Linked DNA regions of Daphnia pulex. The main gene of each other region encodes a partner of the protein of the gene in region 3 in a complex. Links are inferred from orthologs where the notes say so. Each region holds a gene or a part of one and is shown on either strand. Other genes may lie near its edges.

Region 1 (2,495 bases), on a different chromosome or scaffold from region 3:
TTTGATTTTCTGGGCCTGAAAAAGAGCTTTAGTATCTATCAGCAAATTAAGATTGTCAACTACGTCAGGAGACAAGTGCATGAAAAGAAATGCATACTTTGCGATGAGCAGTTTGAATCCCGGGATAAACTGAGAGAGCACATGCAAAACTTCAGTCACTTTAAACTTCCCGATCGGGCAGTTTGGGATCAGTCACAGTAAGCCGGATACATTCAAAATTTTCTATTTGTGGATCCTATTTTATTGGATAAACTTTTAGGTACTACTTTCCAACCTATGAAAATGATGCTCTTCTTTGTTTGCTAGAAGATACCATTCCAGATGATTCTACTGAAACCGACCAAGTAAATTATATTAAGTCTGATTTTTATTAATGTAAAAACTTGTTTTCATGATTTTTCATTTAATTAGGTAACAGTGATCCCTGAAGACACCATCATAAACCTTAAAGTAGTTGAAGAAGAACTGCTTAAACTAGAGCTAATTGTAAAAAAATGAATGATTCTACAAAGCTGTAAAAAAGATTGTATTTCAAGTGATCATGATGGAATAATGCAAACTTTAATGGTGGATTTGAGCTAGTGGTTCTGCTCTTATTTCTGATAAATTGAGTCTGGAATCAAGTTCATTATCAATTTCCCCAATTAAAACTCTGAAATTACAACAAGAAATAGTTATGATTGAGTTATTTTACAGCTAATAAGTGGATGAAACATACACATTGTCTCCTCTGATGATGTGCAGTCCCAGTTGGACTTGTTCAACTCCCTGGGTAGAACTAAACACTCTCTCATGACTGTCGTCAATGATAAGGTTGATAGTCTGATCGAATCCTTTAAGAATACCCTGTAAAAAGAATACATTGAAATTATTTCAAACGGTTTATTGAGTGAGGATGATGCCTTGTGATCGGGCGTTACAACTTACAATAAAATTCCTCCCATCACTCGTGATAACACATACGGAACCTGCGAACAAGAAAGATACAATTTTTCAGTGAATAATAAACAATATAATAATTAAAACTCACGATTAACGTAAGAATCTAACGTTGATGCCATGATTTCTTCACTCGCTTCACTTTGTATTTGGCTTGTAAAAATCGTCTGCAATACAGCGTTGCCGTTTATTTTACTTTAATATCAACAAAGTATTTTCATTCATTCTATTCAGATTTAATTCATACAAACTGTAGTAAACTTATGTTTCAGTGATTAATGATTTCGATAGAGTAATATAATTTTTGTTTATGTATGGAAATTGGTTATTTGAAAAAGACTAAAGAAATCGAGAAGGGGTGCCTGAGGCTATTTTCCCGAGACGTTAATCAAATGGTTGGTGAGGAGAAGAACTCAGCAGGCTAGAGTTTTGATGAATCGTTTTCTTTGGCCATCAAATAAATTTGAAAATCAGATAGGCCCTACATTTCCATTATGCGGTATAATTCTTTATTTGGTCGGTTTTGAGGTATTAACATTAAACGAAATAATATATTAGCGTGACTAACCCCAGCCCAATTTTGTTAAATCTATTTATTTTAAATATACATGTCCATTAAATAAAGTACCGTCTGTCATTTTTAATGACATCATTTTTTACATTTGATTGCAATCAAAACGAAATATGGCATGTCACGTACACACACGCAAACGTCGTCTGCTCTTTGCAGAAAATTGCCGATTTGAAATATTTTGATGTCCGACTTTTAATGGTTGAATATTTTAGCATCGAGATATGGTGCTTTATCTGGTCAATATTCGTGCAGTTTTGAAGCGCGCAATTCCTTTAAGTGCTACTTGTTCCCATTCAAGAAGCACATGCTCAACTCCCGCAGAGACCCGCGGGATCTCTCCAAATTTAGAATTCTCTCCCGACTGCGATGAAGCGACGAGGCAAATGCTTGAGAAAGACTTTCAAGTCTACAAAGATTTCATCAGTGCTGAAGAAGAGAATAACCTATTGGAAGAGTTGGAGGTGAAGTTCAAAAGGTCCCGGTATCAGTATGACCATTGGGATGATGTAAGTCTGAAATTTCGTGTTCACGTAGGTTGTCTGACTGTTGAATGACCACCATTTGTTATTCGAAACCCAAAAGGCTATCCACGGATACAGGGAAACAGAGAAACCTACTTGGAATCAAGTCAATGACTGTGTTATAAATCGGTTGAGAGCTTTTGCCTTTTCAACTACCACGATGCAGCATGTCCATGTGCTTGATTTAGCTGAGAATGGTCACATCAAACCACATCTGGACAGCATAAAGGTATGATAGATGACAGCGTTTGGAAATTATCATTCTAATCTATTCGTATATTTCTCTAAACATAGTTTTGTGGCCCCACCATATCGGGCATATCTCTGCTCACAGCCAGTGTGATGAGGCTCATACATATACAGCGACCCCAAGTCTTGGTCACGGCACTATTACCGAGAAGATCATTGTATATAATGAAGTAATTATCTATGCAAAATAGAGCCCATCGTGATATATAACT
Region 2 (2,671 bases), on a different chromosome or scaffold from region 3:
GTGAAAAATGGATTAAATTGGGAGACTTTGGAAATTCTGCAAACATTCATCAGCTTGATTTATTCCAGGTTAGTTTTATCTTGTCATATCTTGATGTGATTGAAAATGGATGTAATTTGTGTTCTATTTAATTTCTGTTTCAGTACCAACAAAGAGTAGGTACAGTTTCTTACTGTTCCCCAGAAATACTTCAAGGGGATGTTCCCTCAACAAAATCTGATGTCTATTCCTATGGTATAACATTATGGCAATTTGAACACAATCAAATACCTTTTTCTGACTTGGACTGGCCCACTGTAGCATACCTGGTATTTCATTTTTAGACTTTTTATGTGATTCATTGTTAAGTTTCTTGTTGGTTATTAGGTTGTTGCCAAGGATGAAAGACCAGTCCTCAATAGTAATTGTAATGAAGAAGAAACAACATTTAGTAAGCTTTATCAAAGCTGTTGGCAACCAAAACCTGAAGACCGCCCAACTATGTCAGAAATTGTAAATATTCTCAAGGATTTGAGTGAATGATGTATTGTCTTTCGAAAATTAAAGAAAAATTCATGAATGAGCTTCTGGTCCCTCTCCACCAGGAACTAACTAAATATCAATCATGAAATGGCTATTAGTTCAAGTAATAAGACAATAAATTATGTTGCTATAGCATCCTTACCATAGTTATGTTGTTTCCATTCAACAGGATCTGGTCTAGCTTAGTCACACGTCTTCCTTCTGGAGTAGATTCAAATTCTGACACATCTTCCAGCACCATGTTGACAAAATCGTCGAACCCTAGCAAAGTTCCCACTATTTCCTTGTCATTCTTCATGATAATGTGGATCCTTGAACCAATGCATTTATCAACCAACTCCTGTATACCACACCAAATTTAGGTGAAGATTTAATTGCATAACTTTAAAAAAGTATTACCAGAGGTAAAAGCGTGGGTACTGGTGCAGCCATTTTATTTAATTAGAGGGAAAAAATGAAATGTCTTCCACGCCAACTTCGAAAATTTGTAAGTTAAGTTTGGTAAAATCTATTGCACTCCGGAGTCCGGAGCGCTCTAGTGTCAAAAGTGGCTATTGCACTCCGGAGTCCGGAGTCCTCTAGCGTCAAAAGTGGCTATTGCACTCCGGAATGGAAATATGTAGTACTTTCATTTGGCGACCGATGGCATTCTGTTTCTGTGTTTTGAAATTTGAATGGTTTAGATTTTTTTTCTTTGGAAATTCAAATAAAATGTATTTATAACAATCATATATATTTGAATATCACTAATAAATAAAAATAGTCAGTGTATAGAAAGAACTTTTATTTCGTTATCGTTAACTTAGCTAGAGTTTAGAGTACAATGTCCAACATTGAATCAGTACCTTAAAATTCAAATTGTAAATATAGTTAAGTGTCTTGCAACAGGAATAAAGTAGAATTTATAAACATTTCAATTCAGGGTGATATTTCTTGTTAACCATTTCAATTTCTCGCTCTATTTGCTCAGTGTAAGGATTTATACACGTTATAAACGCATATAGTGAGTCACCCTTTGTCGCCCCTTACCTGCCTGAAAGTCGAGCCGGAGTTCTCAGAACGGGGCTTCGAGGGGTTCTTTGTGACCTTCAAACGCATTGACCAGCAACTCACTATTTCTGCTGATTTACACGTAACGTGTGATTCAGCTGATTTCACGCTATAAACCATGCAATGCCCGTGTCTCTTATTCCAATAAACTAACAGCTAAACACGTCTTTCATATCTTGAAACAAAACAATACAAAACTAAGTTAACATGCAGATGCAGTTTACTTTATTATAGTGAGAATATCAAAAGACATTTTAACTGAATTGTGAGTGCGAAAAAATACTTGGTATTTTCGTGTTCAGTTTCACTCGGTGCTTTGTCATCACATGAATGAACTGACAATGAAAAAGTAATTGATTTTAAGGGGAAAGAATTAGCACATGGTGCGGCGTCAATCAAAGATCCTTTAAGAGCGGAATATGGAAGCGCCTTGTCCTTTGATGATGGGTTGCTTTAGGTTCCAACGCCGCGGAGATAATCATAAACAAAGTTAACCACTCCTCTTTTTGACTACCAGTATTTTGTAACATCTATCTCCCTTATGTTGTAAAAAGAATATTCCTCGACGATGACGAATGGTTCTGTCACGAATGTAAAAAATAAATACCTTATTATGTAGCCTCATGTATACAAACCCAGGATTGAACTGATTATGTGAAATATATTGTGTTAAATTTGAGTAGAAAGTAAACCTACTGTTTTTGTTTATACACACTCAACTTCTTTCATTATTAAATGATATCGAAGAACATTCTTCTTATGTGATATAAAGTCATGATCAGGTCGTAAACGTAAAGAAATAGCGAAAACCCCTAATCCTGCAAACCTTAAAACTTTTATAGATGAAATAAGTAAAATCTCACTTTTCAAACATGATCCTTTTTTTTTCAAAATGTCAAACACTAATTTCTTGAAGGCATCAGGTTTGTTTTTCATTTGGGGAAATCTCAAAAACTCATCACATGCTGTTGACCTGTTGTACGATATTGTAACAAAGGTGAAACCACAGATCAGTGCATAACTCCCTCTTCTTTCACACTATAATTGAAGCTTGAATGAAAGACAGACTCTGAACTCAGGCTGAATGGTATTTATGTTA
Region 3 (4,446 bases):
TGAATATTTGTCGTCCTCGCTGAAATAACAAAATAAAATAAGAATAACTGAATATCGTATAAACAAAACACAAAATAATTGTACGCTGCTTTATCTTCTATGGTGTAGCGCTGCGCCTGCAGCTCTTGGGCGGACTTAGAAATAACTATCCTCTTCTTCTCTTCTTTCTCCAGATAGCCTTTGCTCATAGCCAATTTCAAAGCTGCAGCCATTCCCGAGCCGACATCAGGTTCCTCGTCCAGGATAACAGTAGCGTTATCTATTTTACAGAGAGAAAAGAAAAAAATGCAAACACTGACAACAATAAAAGTGACGAGAACACAGTATACATACCCTTTTCATTACGATCGACATCCATGCTGTCGTCGGAACCTTGATCGTTTTCACGTTCCAGAACATTCCATCCACCGCGTTCTTGAAGACGCTCAGCCTCCCTTTTTCGCTCTTCTTTTTCTTGATTTCTTCTGCGTTCTTCTGCCAACTGTCGCTCGAAATCCTATTGCCAAAACAGAAACGCAATTAATTAAAGTCAAAACCAAAAAAAAAAAAACATTCATGCAATGAATTACCATTAACTCATCTTCGTCTTCATCACGATTGCCTGCCATACCATAGGTTGGTATGTCACCAAGAGTACGACAGAATTCTGCTGTGGCATTCAGTATGATACTACTCTTCAGAGGATCCTCTTCCATACCTTCCGTTTCTTCCAAAGGCTCGCGTTTTAATGACCGCGTAATCATGTTCATGTCCCACTGATCAGCCTTCCTTTCTTTTAGTTTATTAGCTTTTAATAGTGCCTGACGTATTTCTTTTTGGGATTCGTCTACAGTAATCTTGAATCCGCTTAAATCTGGCGTTGGATAAACAAGACATAATAAGTAATAATAAAACAATATACTAGTCAAACTAAAATACCTTCTGTGACCTCTTCATCCATTCTCTTCTTTCGAGATCTCGATCCCAAGTCTGACGAAGTTGTTTCTTGCGTTTCTTGAATAAGATCGTCAGCTTTTAAAATGCCGTCGCCTTTGGATCGAACCTTTTTGACGCGACGTTTAACTTTTTTGAAGGAAACCATTTCTTCTGCTGTATAATATTCAGATGCAATTTGGAGCGGTCGCGATTCCAGTGATTCAATTTTCTTCTGTTGCATTTTGAGTTTGTCTTTCATCAACTTTTGGGCTTTCATTTTGGCTTCTTCATCTCCAATTTTACCTAGAATTTTAACATAAATATTTTTGTAAAGATCAACAAAACAAATCTAATATTTTACCTAGGACAAAGCTATCATGTTTTTCTCCTTCTATTTCTGTGTCATATTTAGCAAGCAAGAGCTTTGGTTTGGGAAGGCCCAATTCATCAACTTCTTCCTCTTCATAGGGCTGATATCCCGGTCTCTGTTTCTTGATTTCATTGTTCTTTTTGTAGCGTTCTATATCAACAAGGTTGACATTCACCAAAACATCCCCTTCCTCTTGCAAGATGTTTTGATCTTTAAGAGTCAATACTACTTCTTTCCCTTCAGCTATCATTTCCTAACAAAATAAAGCAACATCAACACAGGTATTCAAATAAAAGTATACGTTGTCGGTGACTTACCCGGTCATGTTCTACTTTTATTCCTCGTAAGTCTCTACTTGTGTATGCTTTTGCTTTTTGTTTAATCAGTTCAGTAGTTACCATATCTCCTACACCAAATGCTTCATCCATTTCTTCAAGCATTTTTGCTCTTTTATTAGCTTCTTCCTTTTCTTTCTGAATCCTTCTTGATTTTTCAACCCAGCTAACAGCATTGTCATCATCATCAGCTGTTGTATGAGCAAGAGTGCGCACTTGTGCAAGCTTTTGTTCTATTTGCCTCTTTTCTCGTCTTTCATCTAGTTTTCGTCTCAACTCTTCTGTGGCTTTCTTTTCACGGAGGTTCTCTAGAGAAATACCACATTTAAATTGTACAAGTAAAGACATTTAAATGAAATCATTACCTGCTGGGACATGAACATCCTTTTTCTCAGTACTGGCTTCAACATTTGAATTTTCTCCTCCAATCTCCAATGGCTTCAAACCAAGTTCAGCTCTTATTCTGTTGGTTTCCTCAATCGAAATGGAAGTATCATTGGTTGAATTAGCAACTGGTCTTTCATCATTCCCTTTTCCTTAAAAAAAATTATTGGTTACTAGTTACTAATAAACATAATTTTGAATACATACCTGTCAACAGTTCTTCGCTCTGAATGTTGAGACTTATATCTTCCTTTATTTGTTTGGATTTGACGGAGGCATAACTTTTTGAATGTGATCTTGACGGAGACCTAGATGGGGAACGATGTCTTCTTTTTCGAAAATTATTATGATCGCGACTTTCTTTTCGGTCCATGTCTCCTTAAGAACTGAAAGAAAGTAGTTTAACTTAGGTGGGAAGTTTTGATTTCTTTAAACATAAAATTTTTTTCAATAGAATTCCTTAAAATATCAAACAATAAAAGTAGGGTACCAGAATCTGTATTCACTTAATGATCTTGCAACAATTTTACTTCAGAACTTGAGAACTGAGAAGCAGACTTCAGCTTTTGCAATATTTATTTTGATGCCGTTGGGTGTTGGTAAATTGCTAAATGCGGGATTGGAAAGCGGGGACAAATACAAATCCATTGATTCCGCAACAGATGGCGTGTTAATCCTCCTATTGAATAAAACTTAAAAAAAGAAAACAGAAGATAAATTTATCCGTAAATCAATAAAGGAAAAACATAATGAAAACATTAAGGCCAGTATAGTTTTTAACTATTTGTTTTACATGTGAAGACTTGTGCGGCAAAACCAAAAGTCCAAAACGAACAATGTCGTTGTCGATTTTTGTTTATACTAAGGGTTCCAAGATTCCGCACCAGGTTCGCTAGTGAGGTAGGCTGATCGCCTCAAAGACTATAGATGTTATTCCAATGAAAAAGTAGTAGTCGAACAAAAAGTCCTGCGCAGTTTACGCCGATGCGCACCACTGCGGCCGATAGCAGAACCAGAGCAATAGATGCCTGGTCGGTTCTCGGCTGTGTTGGCTTCCCTATCCCGGTTTTAGGGTAAACGTATCCCCGATTTTCAGACATTTTAGGGCGGAGCTTGTCAGAATTGTGAAGTAGAAACTGGAAACAGAGCCATCTAGGCTCTCAAAAGTAGCTAAGCGTAGTAGCTGACACACTCACTAGAGCGCTCATTCCAGTTTCCAAATCGGACCACGTTTACCCTGAATATAGGGTCTGTTGGGGTGACCACCCCCTCTCGATTTTCGCAGCGCTAGGTGGCTTATAGGATGAAGCCCGGCATGGCCGAAAAACGAAGAAATTTTTAGAAATTTTTTCAAAAATTTCAATCGTTAATATCTCGGCTTCTGAGCCGAGCATCGAAAAAACATGAAAATTGTTTGAAGAGGTGGGCTATCCCATCATTATGAAACAATTCGAATATTTCCAGGTGCAGCAGTTGACGAGAAAACTGCTGCACAAAAAACGAAAAAAATTCCAAATTTCGGCTACCCCCTCTCAGTTTTTTTAAAAAAATCTCCCAAATTACAAAAGCTAGGCGATTGCGGTTTTCAGCAATCGACTTAGCGAAAAATTTTGCACAAAACCCATCTATTTGTTAATTTTTAGAACCCCTAGCGACGATTTCCGCTAAATCAAAAACGGCCTCTTTGAGTGGCGAATCGCTTGTTGAATCGTTAGGAATATTGCTCAATTCCAGTTCGAAGTTGCCTAATTCCAGTTACGACAAAAACAGCAAGATAGAGTTGCATTTTGGTTCGGAGAAATAAACTGGTAATACTGTGTTGTTTTTTGGTGGTATATCTTCGTTCCATCCAAATATTTCTCTGTGCAGAGTGACTGGCAAGTTCGATTCAAGAACATACAACAACATCCTCAAAGAACATATTCTTCCTTTTTGCAAGATGAAATCAACTAGACATATTGGTGTAGTACATGACTGGTAATCTTATTTTCACATTACAAATTAAATTTCTTGTGTGTGTATGTTACCGAATATTGTTATCAACTGTTTATAGGTTCCCGGTTAACCGCAGCAAAGCTGCTATGAAATTTGTTACTGAACCAGAGGGTAACATTGTCATTCTTGATTTGCCTAAATAATTCGGGGACGCCATACCCGTTGAAACTGTTTGACTGAAAATGATCAATGAGTTCACTCGCGGATTTGTGACGGCTACTAGTGAAGAAGGTTTATTGTGAGAGGATTCTATGATTTGGCAAAAGGTGTGCCACGTAGAATACATTCATCAACTAATTTCAAACATTCCGCTATAACTTAAAAAATGTGTTGATTGCCATGGCTCAAAATTGGTAGATTAAGCTGTTGTGTTACTATTTTGGTTGATGCAATAAAAGCAGTTAATACAAACTTGATTTTGTTAGAAGTATAATTGTCTAACACAAG

What was found. The genes of interacting proteins can lie anywhere in the genome.
Region 1: U4/U6.U5 tri-snRNP-associated protein 1-like (region 3) and U6 snRNA-associated Sm-like protein LSm8 share a complex: the UniProt entries of both Homo sapiens proteins name them as parts of the U4/U6-U5 tri-snRNP complex. The link is inferred for Daphnia pulex from reciprocal best matches to the Homo sapiens genes SART1 and LSM8.
Region 2: U4/U6.U5 tri-snRNP-associated protein 1-like (region 3) and U6 snRNA-associated Sm-like protein LSm5 share a complex: the UniProt entries of both Homo sapiens proteins name them as parts of the U4/U6-U5 tri-snRNP complex. The link is inferred for Daphnia pulex from reciprocal best matches to the Homo sapiens genes SART1 and LSM5.

Annotation. Positions count from the first base shown.
Region 1 is NC_060019.1:331,123-333,617, reverse strand, and holds U6 snRNA-associated Sm-like protein LSm8, read right to left. Parts: upstream 1,141-2,495; 5' UTR 1,062-1,140; coding exon 1,031-1,061; intron 969-1,030; coding exon 928-968; intron 847-927; coding exon 719-846; exon of another isoform or gene 653-718; coding exon 562-652; 3' UTR 510-561; downstream 1-509. Other genes in the region: zinc finger protein 277-like, read left to right, coding at 1-197, 260-344, 412-498; alpha-ketoglutarate-dependent dioxygenase alkB homolog 7, mitochondrial-like, read left to right, coding at 1,735-2,019, 2,096-2,263, 2,329-2,453. UniProt on the Homo sapiens protein: Plays a role in pre-mRNA splicing as component of the U4/U6-U5 tri-snRNP complex that is involved in spliceosome assembly, and as component of the precatalytic spliceosome (spliceosome B complex).
Region 2 is NC_060021.1:7,375,047-7,377,717, reverse strand, and holds U6 snRNA-associated Sm-like protein LSm5, read right to left. Parts: upstream 1,042-2,671; 5' UTR 1,010-1,041; coding exon of another isoform or gene 977-1,009; 5' UTR 955-976; coding exon 922-954; exon of another isoform or gene 863-921; coding exon 665-862; intron 592-664; coding exon 553-591; 3' UTR 523-552; downstream 1-522. Other genes in the region: serine/threonine-protein kinase mos-like, read left to right, coding at 1-68, 144-308, 367-522; peptidyl-prolyl cis-trans isomerase H-like, read left to right, coding at 977-1,009. UniProt on the Homo sapiens protein: Plays a role in pre-mRNA splicing as component of the U4/U6-U5 tri-snRNP complex that is involved in spliceosome assembly, and as component of the precatalytic spliceosome (spliceosome B complex).
Region 3 is NC_060026.1:10,447,234-10,451,679, reverse strand, and holds the start of U4/U6.U5 tri-snRNP-associated protein 1-like, read right to left. Parts: upstream 2,824-4,446; 5' UTR 2,798-2,823; intron 2,697-2,797; 5' UTR 2,495-2,696; intron 2,414-2,494; exon of another isoform or gene 2,391-2,413; 5' UTR 2,378-2,390; coding exon 2,212-2,377; intron 2,157-2,211; coding exon 1,986-2,156; intron 1,929-1,985; coding exon 1,603-1,928; intron 1,539-1,602; coding exon 1,277-1,538; intron 1,219-1,276; coding exon 919-1,218; intron 854-918; coding exon 570-853; intron 497-569; coding exon 334-496; intron 260-333; coding exon 85-259; intron 20-84; coding exon 1-19. UniProt on the Homo sapiens protein: Plays a role in mRNA splicing as a component of the U4/U6-U5 tri-snRNP, one of the building blocks of the spliceosome. May also bind to DNA.